2 linked regions of the Mytilus edulis genome follow. The protein of the gene in region 1 purifies or fractionates together with the protein of each later gene. This does not show direct contact. Links are inferred from orthologs where the notes say so. Each region holds a gene or a part of one and is shown on either strand. Other genes may lie near its edges.

Region 1 (7,082 bases):
GGTCAATTCTCAATAATGAATATTTGCTTAGTTTTCAAGGCGGCCATTTTGAAAATAGCCACCATTTTGTATTTCAAAGATAGATCAAAACAAAATCTTGCTAAGTACACCAAGTCATTCAAATATGTTGATTTTAGTGCTTCCAGCATCTAATCCACTGTGCAATACTGGAAAATATTTTAGAACGTACGGCAGCCATCTTGAAATAATCCGCCATATTGAATTTTGAGGGTGGGTCCATAGCTAATATTGCTCAGTACAAAAAAAAATGTACCATCATGCAAAAATTGGTGCTTTCCTCATTATTTGAGCAATTTTTTCACCGATCGGCCGGGCTATAAAAGCTTCCAGAAAACCTACAAAAACTAAGACATTATTAAACCATCAATCCCTGATATTGCGTTCTTCATATCTAACAAACAAATAAAAGAAGGCTTTGACTTGCATGAAGCAAATATTGATCAAATGAAATTAGATATCCTGATTTAGTATATTCATCAAATAAGCTATAATTTTTGCATGTGTGAATTACAGAATTTATTGCTCAAATATTGTGAATTAATTTCGCTGCCTTTTTTCCTTTTTTCATTTAAAGTATTATTAACAAATTAGACCCCCACTTTATATTCCCAAATTTTCCAGGCCCCCTTAATTTATCCTTCCCACTTTCAGGTTACAAATGACCAGTCCCTTGAAAATGTAAACGAGTTACGATAAATATGTTATTTTAATCAGATTGAACCCCCCTCCCTTCCTGACAAAATACGAACGGTCGGTGCTTTAGTAAAACTGCATTTCAAATTCTTGGAGTGTTTGCCACGATGTTCATTTTGAATTTAAAAAAAAAGGGACAGTTATGGACACTTTTTGCCTTCACATAGGCGGATCCAAGGGGGCCCTGGGGGGCCCGGGCCCCCCCTTTCGTGGGAAAAATTTGGTTGAGTATATAGGGAATCACTGAAGCATGACTGGAGCGGGCCCCCTCTTAGGCAAAGTTCTGGATCCGCCACTGCTTCAATCAGGCAGTCAGAATGTAACATATAATTCAACAACGCCCATATGGATATTAACATATATATGTTAACATTTATCTGTTTTATTATTAATTAAAAAATACAACAACAAAACACAGATGTTTAGTACAAACCAGCAGGTCATAAAAACATGTATTTCTCAAAATAAGTCAGTTGTTAGTAAAAAGGATGTCCGAATACAGACAAAGGAAAAAACAAAGGAAAATTGATAGGATCAAGCTTTTTTGTGATTGGTTTAGCATTTGTTGATATATATCTGTGTTGTGATGTTTTATTTCTTGGCTAGTATAACATGTACCGAGAAATTAAACAGGCAATATATATGCCCGAAGTTTTAGAATTCGTTCATACAGTTTTGTATTATTCAAAATTATTAGTCAGTACAAGGATCACCAATCATTCACCTTTCATTTGATACCTTAACAACTAAAATATATTCTACATAGCTTTATATTACACCTTATGCGTAGAAACTATTTTGTTTTAAATATGTTATACTTTCCTGTATGTTTTTTTATAATGCTCGATTTGGCTGTGATACATCTTACAAAGTCTATCCTAATCATTTTGCCCCATATCTTTTTTTCTATTACAAATTGTTTACTAGTACTTCAGAATAATAAGCACTTTTACCAGTGAGCATAGAATAATTTTGGAAACCCGAAGACCTGCGCGGTACACAATTTGAGTTGTGTGTGCTCCTGATATTATTTATATATAATTTAAAATTGTTACAAAAATTTTAAAACTTGTGATCCCCCTTCTGTCATCCCATAAAAAAAAATATATGTTAAACTTATTTATTTTGAAGGTATGAATTAAGGTAGCAGAGGTTTGACGACATTAAATTCTCATAAATTGATTAATAGGATGACAAATAGATAAAAAAAAAAAAAACCACACAAACTGAACTTGAGGACTTGCTCGAATTCAAATGGAGCGTGACTTGGTGCGTCGACTGGGTAAATGACTATGCTTTCGGGTGGGGGAGGGGGGGGGACGTAACATTTGGAAAAAAGTAAAATAACAAAAATACCGAACTCCAATGGAAATTCTAAACTGAAAGTCTGATTTTTTTCAAGTCCTGATCTTGAAATAATAAAATAAAATAAAGACACCCCCCATCCTTTCCAAAGACAAAAAAAAATCATCCCATCATCTCTCAATACTTGTGTTCGTTACAACAAACCATACAATGCTTCGAAAATCTGCAAAATCTGAGACATCAAACCATCCATCCCTGATATAGTCGTTCTTCATGTCTAACAAACAAACAGAAGATGGCATGACTTGCATATAACAAATATTGAAATGAAATTTGAAGTAAAAAATGATAACACAAGAGATATAGAAAAAACATCTGAATCGCGTATTAGATATTCCTGCTGAAAATAGTCAATCAAATACTGATTTAGTGTATTCATCAAATTAGCTATGGTCGTATTGTAGTCTCTTTGACACGATTCCGCGTGTCTATTGTCAATTTTAACTATATGATTTTTGTAGGCTTGAAATATATTTATATAGAATTGTTCGAATCCTGTGAGCAAATTTTGATCCCCCCACACCCATTTTCAAGTATTGGAAAATTAGACTAAACATCTTTAAATTTTTAAAACTTATCAAGGTCCCCTTAACTTCTTCCCCTTTCTTAATGTTACAAATGACCAGTTCCTAAGTAAACGATTTACGATAGAAAGTGTGTTATTCATATTGAACATCCCTCCCTCCCCCAAGAAAAGATGAACGAAAGGTTCCTTAGTAAAACTGAATTTCAAATTCTTGCAATGTTTGCCACGAAGTACATTTAATGAAAAATGGAGAGTTATGGACACTTTTCTCATTCAATCCGACAGTCAGAGTATAACACATATGTCAACTATCTCAGTCAACTATATCTATAGCCTATAGAAGTACGAATATTAATATTTGTTTTTCTCTTTTTTTTAATTTTAAACATATAAAAATCAAATGTTTAGTACAAACCAGCAGGTCATAAAAAAACATAAATTTCTCAAAAAAAGGTCAGTCGGTTAGTAAAAGGATGTCCGAACACCGGCAAAGGAAAAAACAAAGGGAAATTGATAGGATCTAGTTGATATCTTTAGCTATATGGTGGTGTCATTTCTTGACTAGTATAGCATGTATAAATTGTTTACCTGAGAATAATGTCCACTTTTACAGTGGGTATACCATAATTTTGCAGTCCTGAAGACCCGCGCGGTACGCAATTTGAAGTTATGTGCTCCTGATATATATTTTTATCATGTTTTTTTATTTTTTATCATGGTTTTTTTTTTTTTTTTGTTCGAATGATGAATGGATAAAAAAAAAAAGAGAGATGTTGGTGTACGTTGACGAGACAGCAATCCATTAAAACAAAAATAAGACATATCGTCGCTGTTATGCAAAAACCTCGTATCTCAATTTTTTGTGGAAATCTTTTTATTGATTATTTAGAATTAAATATGTATGTTCGAAAATATCTGATCTTCTAACCAATCATTAACCTGAATTCTGACATGTGACGAAAAAGTGTAGTCGGATTGGTGAGACATTTTGTTGTTCGAAAATATCGTATCTCAAAAGAAAAACACACGGCACGGCAGCTGACATCATAACAGCTACAGTTTAATCAATTTTAGGTTCTCAAAGCTAATAAAGCTTAGAAATAATGTGAAAAGCTTTCAAAATACAATATCGGTGCAGACATTTTTGCTCGTCGATTGCAATGGTTAGAAGATCAGAATTTTTCGCACACAGTGGAACATACACACAGAATAAAAACAAATAGTAGAATAATTGCAGAAACAAAAACATAATATAATCATGTTCATAAAAAGATAACAAAATAAGAGTTATTTCTAAAGATTAAGAAAAAAAATCTTAAAAATTACAATTAAGGAAACTAAAGGCTCCCATCCAGACCCTTAGTTTGTTTGTTTGTTTTTCTTTTGGTCATGGAGGTGCGTGTCCTTCGATGATTTATCGTATGGAAATTGATAATTTGTCAATAACAATTTTAAAACTCTTGAAGTTTTCAATGTTAGTCCGGAATTTGAACGGTTCATTTTATTTTGTGTATTATTTGACATCCGGCAATTCAGCATACCTGGCAAAAAAAGTACGAAATTGGTACTCTCTGGGTAAGTTGACTGATTCTTAAACCAATGTATTTACTCTTTCTTTCTGCTGGTAAAATCTTGGACTTCCAGTAATTATTAGAGGTCAAAACAAAAGAAAATAAAGGAACTATTTGAACAGGTGTTTTCAATATCACTGCGCGTCTACTCCTATTTTTAGCAGGTCAACTCACCGGTAATAAACTTGGGAAATAAAACAGAGAAACACCTTCAACACACAATTACTGGATACAATTTTTGGTAAGAATTTATAATAATTTAGTACAAAAGGATGACAAATCGTCAATTCGTGACAACATTTTTACAAACTCTGAAATTAACCCTAATATCCACACCTGAATATACAGGTAAAACATGTAAAAAGTCATACTTGATAATTCCAGGTAAAAAGGGTTTTCTAAATTTTTTATCAATGACTTGTTTGCAGTATGTTGTAATCTGATATAATTCAAGGGTTTTTGACGTTTAAAATGATGTCAGAGCTACAAAAGCAAACTTTCAAATTTAGGTGACACACCCTTTCAATTCAATATAGATTATCACATATATTATAATACATATAGGAGATTATCTGGTAATTAATATCATTGTTACTGTTTAACCCACATGTCTATAGCTTGCTTAACAGGATGTGATACAGACAAACAAATATTGAAGGGGGAAGTTCACAAGCAAATGACAAGTCTATTTTATCATTAAATTTCCTTGTTTACTTTTTGCCAGTGATTGAAAACTCCAATAATCATTATAATGATCTGAAGTTTCAAATCCAAATTGAATGCATTGACAGAAGCAGCCAATGCATTCAGTGGCGGATCAAGAACTTTTTGTATGGGGTGCCGGTGGGGTGGGGGCAATGACTGACGGTGGGCCCTCTCCATTTATGCTTCAGTGATTCCCTATTCAATCAACCCCTGGATCCTCCTTTGGCAATGAAGGTTAAGTTTTTTGTTTTTATTTAGTTGTATAAATGACAATATCCACCACTGGTCAATGCTACACTTTTCAAATACATGTAGACCATGTAGACAAACAATTGTTTATTTAGAACATGATAAATAAGGTGGTTATTTTTCTCAATTAAATATGGTTTCATATTATTCAAGTTAGGTAAGATCTTTTAAAGCCAACTATACAGTATGTTTTTTCTCATTGTTGAAGACTATCATGACTATATATATATATGGTTTCCCATAATTCCACTTTATTTTTAAATTTTTGTTGTCTCATTGGCAATGACATACACTATCTCCTTATTTTCATCATGTTCATATTGGCACACAAACTAAGTATCAATCAGCAGTACATGTATGTATTTTAGAATTGCAAAGTCTAAACCAGTTTTATTTAAATGTTTTGTTGCTGGGCTTAATTTTCTTCAATGTTTACAAAACTTTATCACTTCTGTTTAATTTGCAAATTTGCTGAAGGTTAAATAAAATTGAGAATGGAAATGGGGAATGTGTCAAAGAGACAACAACCCGCCCAAATAAAAAACAACAGCAGAGGGTCACCAACAGGTCTTCAATATAGCGAGAAATTCCCGCACCCCGAGGCGTCCTTCAGCTGGCCCCTAAACAAATATATACTAGTCCAGTGATAATGAACGCCATACTAATTTCCAAATTGTACACAAGAAACTAAAATTAAAATAATACAAGACTAACAAAGGCCAGAGGCTCCTGACTTGGGACAGGCGCAAAAATGCGGCGGGGTTAAACATGTTTGTGAGATCTCAACCCTCCCCCTATACCTCTAACCAATGTAGTAAAGTAAACGCATAACAATACGCACATTAAAATTCAGTTCAAGAGAAATCCGAGTCTGATGTCAGAAGATGTAACCAAAGAAAATAAACAAAATGACAATAATACATAAATAACAACAGACTACTAGCAGTTAACTGACATGCCAGCTCCAGACTTCAACTAAACTGACTGAAAGATTATGATTTCATCATATGAACATCAGGCACAATCCTTCCCGTTAGGGGTTTAGTATCATACCATCATAACATATATGAGAAGAACATAACCTGTGTCATGCCAACAACTGTTTTTAGAATAAATGTGTTTAGTTCCGATGCAAAGACCTTATCAGTGACTCAATATTAACGCCAAAATATGCAATCTTTAATGACTTGACAACAGTATCGTAATTATATCCCTTCTTAATAAGTCTATTCAAAGGTTTTGTAAGTTTCTGAGGTGAATACTGACACCTTTGTGCTTTATAAAGAATATTACGATAAAGAATATATATATATATGGTGTGTCAATTGAACAAAGAATTTAATATTAATCCTTTCTTTCAACTAAAATAACCTCAGGTAATCAAATTGTGTACTATATAAGATAAAGGTTAAAAAATAAATATCTCGAATAACAAAAGATGACATAATTAACTGTAATTTCCTTACCTAGCACTTACCTGTCAATAACAAGTCAATTAACAACATGGTATACACCTGTCCTCACCTGGTGGGAATAAAACAATTACATGTACATGTAACTATAACACAATTGAAAAAGTTATAGTATTTCATGTATTTGTTTATTGATATTGGTCAATGGTGTCTATACCATTTGTAATGTATAATACACAGAGCAGTAATTAGTTGTCTACCACAATTCAATGACAGATTCTGAAATATCTTCTACTAATTTTAAGGTAATTATGGTGTCTGCTTGGAAAAGATTTGCTCAAATAACCAAAGATTCCATCATTTTACTTATTGACAAAATGCTCAAGGTGCATGCAGTTGCATTGGTTAATTTAAACCTCTCTCAGACTGTGATTTTTTAATGTCAAGTGAACTTTTTTTTTCTTTTTTTTTGTATACATATTTTTTCCCAGATTTATTTCATCATGTTTATCATACCCTAAAAGCCCAATTTGAGTTGAC
Region 2 (7,414 bases), on another chromosome or scaffold:
TGAATTCAGTTCTACGTAATGAACATTTAAATGACACATAGTTTACAAGTGAGAACAAATCTTATGTACAGGTAGCTAAACAAGGTGTATAGATGTGAACAAATGTAATGTGAAACCAGTGCACACTACACTAAACTAATTGTAAACATGTTTACTCTACACGGTGTTTGGTGTGAACACGGCCTAAAATAATTTGGCTCGTTTAACTTTATTTCAATTCTAACATAGTGTTTACTTTGACCCTTTGACAAAGGTATAAAAATTTGAACCAACCATTTAATCAGAAAAAATACACTTGTTGTATTGCAGTTTGTCAAAAACTTATTCTGATCATTGAGAAGCTTAATATTACATTAACCACACAATGTAATCAAAAAGTTTTGCTGATTTTACAGAGTTATCTCCCTGTAGTGTTAGGTACCATCTTAACTATTGAGTTGACCTCTAAAGTCATCTGATGACCATATAAGCGATGTAAACATATATATATATTATAGATATAAATAAATTAGCAAACTCATGTTGCTGGATTTTTCTAGGTCTATTTAATTTCACATGATAAAATAAATGTTTATCATTGTTTTTACCTGTGTAACAATGACTTTTTTGTGAATCTAATCAGTCAATCAAATGATTTACCTTTGTTTCACTTTCAATGTTGACATTCTTTTCCTTTAAATAACTTTACACATACAATTCACATGTTATCCATCTCAAGCTAAGGGGTTTAGTTGAAGCTCACATTAAAACCGATTTAATGAGGTTGAATTATTCACTTGCAAGTGGATAATTCATAATCAGTGCTCTAGCTAGAAATCAAAAGGGGCAGGGTGCCAGTGGAGGGCAGGGCACTTTTTATGATAAGAAAAGGCACTGCTCATTTTTTTTGTCTACGTTTCTGTGTGTATCACGAGTTAACGAATCTCTTTTTTTTTTTTTACTGTATATGTTGTTTTTTTTAAATAAAGATGCTTTTCAACTATAGTCTTTATTTCATTGTTTGTGTAGTTATGAATGATATAGTACATCTTCATCAACATATCATGTTTTTACAGTTTAACTTCACTCTACCCATTATCAAAGAATATGTGTTTTTTTTTTTGTTTTTTTTTTATCTATATAGAAATTATAGCTTTTAATACATCATATGAACTGATATATATATGGTGGTGTTTAACGACCTTGACTGGCTATACAGCCCTGGCACGGTCGGTAAGAAATGAACTTGAAAGCCTTACTAATTTAACAATGTTTAGAACATGGATTGCTAAAAGTATAATTATCAAGTAGAAATTGCAATATATATTTTTTAATATGTTCAAAGACAGTTAATATCTTTAAGGTAACATTATTATGTTATTATATATTCAATTGGTAATTTATTCCTTTTTTTGATACTAGATAATATTTTTAGAGCACAAATTTGTAATAAGCTAAAACAGGGGAAGTAACTCCAAAATCAATTTCCACCACCTTTGGGTTAATTAAAAACTGTGCTTGTCGCTAACAAGTTGAGATGGAAGGCATTTCTGTAAAGGCATAGTTTTATTTTGATGACTTAAATTCAATTCTAAAGTCATGAAAGTCTTCATTTATATACGCTCTTCCATTGTGACTTGGAGATTGAAAACGCCGACCCAAGCTAAACACACTCGCTGACACATTCATCACTTATTAATTAATGTTTTTGTCGCTTATTTTGACAAAATTGAACCATACATGTACATACTGGGTGCTAAAAGTGAAATCTTATTTCACTATTTGCATTTCACTAATGATTGTGCAAAAATAATAATGTATAAGATTTTTTATATATCTCCTAGCTAGTGCCCCTTTAAGTGGGGCAAGTTGGCAGGAGAAAAATTTACGGGATGTACATGCAACCCTTTTCACAAGTGTTCCGATTTTTTTTAAAGTGGGACGAGTTGGTGAAAAAGCAGCAATTTTTCCTGCTTCCACATCATCTTTCCATCAGAAAGTAAAGTTAAAGGATAATTCTAACTTCTTAAGAAATTCCTGTACAGGAACAAGTCGACAAGAAGAGGGGCACAGTTAGTTCCCATCTGAATGCAGATATAAAAAAAGAAGATGTGGTATGATTGCCAATGAGAAAACTCCCCATGAGAGACCAAAATGACACAGAAATTAATAACTATAGGTCATTGTACAGCATTCAACATTGTGCAAAGCCCATACCGCATAGTCAGCTATAAAAGGCCCTGATAGTTTGTTGAAAAACAAGTTCTCCAAATGTCACAAATATGTTGTCAATCAAGAAATAAAGCATCTTGATAATGTCAGTTGTTGATTGCTTAAGCCTATATCTATGATTATATTTGATACGCTTTACTTGAGAAACCACTCTCTCAAGACTCAACCTTAGCTGTGCTCCAAAGCCTTATTGATGGCCACTATATATTGAGCCTTTTATGGGAAACCTGTTTCAGTGTGGCTAGTTTTTCTTTTAACTGATAAAACAGGCTACAGCAAAAATTCACATGTATGAATATAAGTTAAATAATAATAAAATAATTTTGCAGTAAGACAATTTGAAATACTCCAAAAATTATATTATGATATCAACTATCAGTATCATGGAACGTCCAGACTGTCAAGGAAATTTGGATTTAGTGTGTATAACCATAACATATAAATTCATGGACATGAGAGGGGACGAAGATGATATTTGCTTAGCAATATACAAAATACGCTGGTTGACAACTTTTTACTACAATAAACCAACATAATTTTGTAAACACTGGTTGACTGGGGAAGTCGAAGGGGCACTCACCAGCAGAGATTGTATCAACTAAATCATATCTAGACGAGATCTTTGGATATTCTCTTAATTTTCTGCCACATAAACACACTGCCCCGGTTGACTGAGCTTCGTCGAAAATCTTTTCTAGGGGTTTATGTGATGTTGGGCTCTGTGTTCCGGTGCTGAATGTTGTCGCCATTTTGTACTTTCATGTTGGATTCAGATTATGCGCAAGCGCACGACTTTAACATAAATTTTACACTGGTTCCCTGTATAGAAAAAAGTAAAAGCTTTCACAAAAAGCACAACTTACTAAAAGTTATACTTTTATTATAATTTAATTATACAGTATCTACTTTTTACTTGGAATATTTTTTTCTATTTGTATCATAACCAGCTTGCAATTTAAATTGTTTAGTTTCATTATCAGCTTTTCTATCAGTAAATTTCTTATAATTTTATTGTCCCAGTGTGTTGCATTTATAAAAAAGGGGACATAATAATACCAGACATCCTTCTGTTTAGTCTTGTTAGAAATCTCATGTTTAGGATTCAGTGAGAGACAGCAGTTCCTTGTAAACTTTCACAGAAACCTTACTTTTTAGATAATTCATCGCTTTATGTGTTATATGTACATCATGTTTTGAAACATTTTTTTATATGTTTTCATCTGAGACTACTATAACACTATGTGGTATATGTGTTATAGTAGTCTCAGGTTTTCATATTCAGTCAAATCGGTTTCATTGTTTGATATCATGCCGAATTCAAATAAAGTTTTCAAGATCAATAAAATTTCAATATGAAGGCCGCATTTCTTTTTGTAAATGTTGTGTCGCGTTTGTTGTTGTTTTCTAAACGCTACAAAAGTAGAAACAAATACATCGTTTAATAAGTCTTTACTGACCCTGTTTGAACTTCAATAAGGCATGCACATGTTGTTGGTAAACAGACTTTCTACAAACGCATAGAAACAAATACTTCGTTTAATCAGATTGAAGTAAGAAACAAATGTAGTGTGTGTCCTAACAAACAACTAACTGCAGACGCATTTTTATCGTTTGCCTAGTTTGTCAAAGTTTATGCAAACTTTACAAACATATGTTTGAAAGAAATGATCAAAACACATGCACGCTTAGCCGTTTGCATGGTTTGTGTTAGAAAAAATGCAATCCAAGTTATCATTAAAAATCTATAAAAAATGCATATTTTGCATTACAGAACATACCATCAAAGGATCGATTAAGCTAATTTAAGTTTTTTTTACATTGTTATTCTTATTGTATCAGCTGATTCAAAAAGTAATTGCAGAAACCCCAAGCTTCTCGAAATCAGAGCTTTCTAAGCTGAAGCAAATTATCCAAGCTGATATATCTGAACATTTCAAAAAATTCAAAGACCACTTTTTTTCAATCAAAATCATCATTTGGAATTTGGACAATTACCACACTATTCAGAAGACACTCAATTAAATATAGATTAGACCGTTGGTTTTCCTGTTTGAATAGGTTTACACAAGTCATTTTGGGGCCTTTTATAGCTTGCTGTTCGGTGTGAGCCAAGGCTTCGTGTTGAAGGACGTACTTTGGCTTATATAGCTTAATTCTGTTCAGTGTGAGCCAAGGCTTGGTGTTGAAGACGTACTTTGGCTTATATATATTAGTGTCACTGATGAGTCGTATGTAGAGGAGACGCGTCTGGGGATAAAATTATAATCCTGGTACCTTTGATGACTATTTACACCACTGGGTCGATGCCACTGCTGGTGGACGTTTCGTCCCACAGGGTATCACAAGCCCAGTAGTCAGCACTTCGGTGTTGACAAGATATATATGGCCATGAATACCATGATGATGGCACCCAGGTAAGTACCAGACTCCAAATAATCAAACTGTCAAATAGCAATTACTCTGTGGAACAACATTACCAATAGATAAGAACATGTTGTTCAATGGTGGTCATTTGTTGGTGAGGTTCATACACGCTTCTCGTTTTTTTTAAATATAGATTAGACTGTTGGTTTTCCTGTTTGAATAGGTTTACACAAGTCATTTTGGGGCTCTTTATAGCTTGCTGTTCGGTGTGAGCCAAGGCTTCGTGTTGAAGGACGTACTTTGGCTTATATAGCTTAATTCTGTTCAGTGTGAGCCAAGGCTTGGTGTTGAAGACGTCATTTGGCTTATATATATTAGTGTCACTGATGAGTCGTATGTAGAGGAGACGCGTCTGGGGATAAAATTATAATCCTGGTACCTTTGATGACTATTTACACCACTGGGTCGATGCCACTGCTGGTGGACGTTTCGTCCCACAGGGTATCACAAGCCCAGTAGTCAGCACTTCGGTGTTGACAAGATATATATGGCCATATTTATAAATTTCCTGTTACAAAACTTTGAATTTTTCGAGAAAAAAAAAGGATTTTCTAATTCCATGAATAGATTACCTTAGCCGTATTTGGCACAACTTTTTTGAATTTTGGGTCCTCAATGCTCTTCAACTTTGTACCCGTTTGGCTTTTTAACTATTTTGAGTGTCACTGATGAGTCTCATGTATGCGTCTTGCATATTAAATTATAATCCTGGTACCTTTGATAATTTATATAGCTTAATGCTGTTCGGTGTGAGCCAGGTTTAGGTTTGGTACCATTCAAACATTTAAACCTGCGGCAATTGATTGCACCTGTCGTAAGTCAGGTTTCTTATGTTCTGTAGTTGTGGTTTGTTGATGTGATTCATAATTGTTTTTCGTTTCTTGTTTTTTATATAGATTGCTGGTTTTCCCGTCTGAATGGTTTTACACTAATTATTTTTTGGGGCCCTTTATAACTTGCTGTTTGGTGTGAGCCAAAGCTTCGTGTTGAGACAGTACTTTGACATATAATGGTTTACTTTTATAAATTGTGACTTGGATGGAGAGTTGTCTCATTGGCACTCATACCTCATCTTCTTATATCTATGAATATGACAAATTTATTTCTAATAATTACAGGACAATCTATTATCTAGTAATAATATGACTGAAAACAACACAAAATTTAAGTTATCACATTTATTTTATGAGTTTTTGTGGAGAAAATGTTTCCCCATTTTAAAATTTCAACATCATAATGATTGCCGACACCATACTAATTGAAGTATGGATCAAATACGCCATAACAGTTCACTTAAAATAATACAATCCCAAAAAAATTATCAAAACATTTTCTTGGCCCAACTATTACTTCAACATACTTTTATTTCAAACCAGAACAAAAAAGTAGCAACATTTCGCTGATATTTCGTAAAATAATGATTTTTTTTTAAAAGCATATGAAGCATGACCTTAGTTCAATAATGTTTGTAAATGTTTATCAATATAAACAATGTATAAGTTTTTTTCTGTGATAATTTTGCTACTATAGGCAATCTGCTTTTAAAAAAAAAATCTTCTTTGAATCTACATAGATACAGTTTAAACTCCAATAATTGACAGCATCACTTTTGTTTCTATTCATTCAGTTTTATGGTCACTAATGTAAAAAATATGCCATGTGTAAATTTCTATGACAAACCATATTCTTTTTCATGCTGCTCTTTATAGATGCAGTAAAAAGAAACCAAGAAATTTGTCAAACATATATCTCTTGGATCTAGGGGACAAAATAACTCTGTATAATATTAAGCTGTAAAATGACTAGTTTCCAATTCATGAAATTTGTACATTTATAACATGATTTAAATTTTGTACATTATTATTTTTTTTCATCACATTTCTTAGATGATATATATTTTGTTAACCTTTCACTCGATGTTAATTTTGTATGTTGATGTGTAAGCTTTATTTTATAAAAGGTATATATTAACAGCATTTCCATTATATTATTTAACTCTGAAATATTCTAAGAACTGTTTATTTATACATAGTTGACAAAAAAAACTGTTCTTTAATCTTCATGCATGTATAATGACTATGTTTAAGTCTTTATTTCATACCAAAAGTGTGTTTTAAGGGCCTTTATTTTTTCTATTGAAAGTGTATTCAGTCTTGAACTAAAACATGTTGAGAAAATTGCAAAATAGTCATGTTTTATTCCACAGATTAAGAAAATAAAAATAACTGGCAAAATATTGTATTGTTTTAAAAAATTGATCAGCTATTTCCTGTGATCAGGAATTACAATGCAAATTTAAAATGTTAGAAAAATGCCTTGTTTTTTAAATCTTTCCTCCATAATGACGCCTTTCAACGCCTGTGTAGTGCCTCAGTTCAAATATATTGCCTACGACAAAACTTTATCAGACTTGAAAAAAATTGTATCTAATATAAAAAGGATATTCATGAGAATATCTGACTTGAATTTCATTGATGAAACATTTGTTTTTTCGCAATGCATTTATACTTTTAACCTGATGATTTGTTTTATTGAGAGGAAAGGGTTTTAATGGCAGTAAATTATGAAAGTTTAAACCATTATTTTTCAACTGACTTGAAGATAACTGAATATTTGATGATTTATATGTCATTTTATAGAAGACAAATCTAATGAAAATAAACCATTCTAGACATTTGAATGATAACTTTCAAAGATGGGATGCAGTCCTGTCAAAGTCTATGTTACGTTAATATCTAATACCCCTAAAATTAACAGAAGAATTTAAATATAAACAGTG

Evidence for each region. Proteins that work in one complex are often made in the same cells at the same time.
Region 2: the proteins of unconventional myosin-VI-like (region 1) and leucine-rich repeat and calponin homology domain-containing protein 2-like purify together in Homo sapiens (co-immunoprecipitation; 3 studies listed by BioGRID and IntAct, with this or other methods). This does not show direct contact. The link is inferred for Mytilus edulis from reciprocal best matches to the Homo sapiens genes MYO6 and LRCH3.

The regions. Positions count from the first base shown.
Region 1 is NC_092353.1:45,604,256-45,611,337, reverse strand, and holds the start of unconventional myosin-VI-like, read left to right. Parts: upstream 1-4,051; 5' UTR 4,052-4,180; exon of another isoform or gene 4,181-4,417; intron 4,418-7,082. UniProt on the Homo sapiens protein: Myosins are actin-based motor molecules with ATPase activity. Unconventional myosins serve in intracellular movements. Myosin 6 is a reverse-direction motor protein that moves towards the minus-end of actin filaments.
Region 2 is NC_092346.1:79,333,697-79,341,110, reverse strand, and holds the start of leucine-rich repeat and calponin homology domain-containing protein 2-like, read right to left. Parts: upstream 3,025-7,414; 5' UTR 2,961-3,024; coding exon 2,792-2,960; intron 1-2,791. UniProt on the Homo sapiens protein: As part of the DISP complex, may regulate the association of septins with actin and thereby regulate the actin cytoskeleton.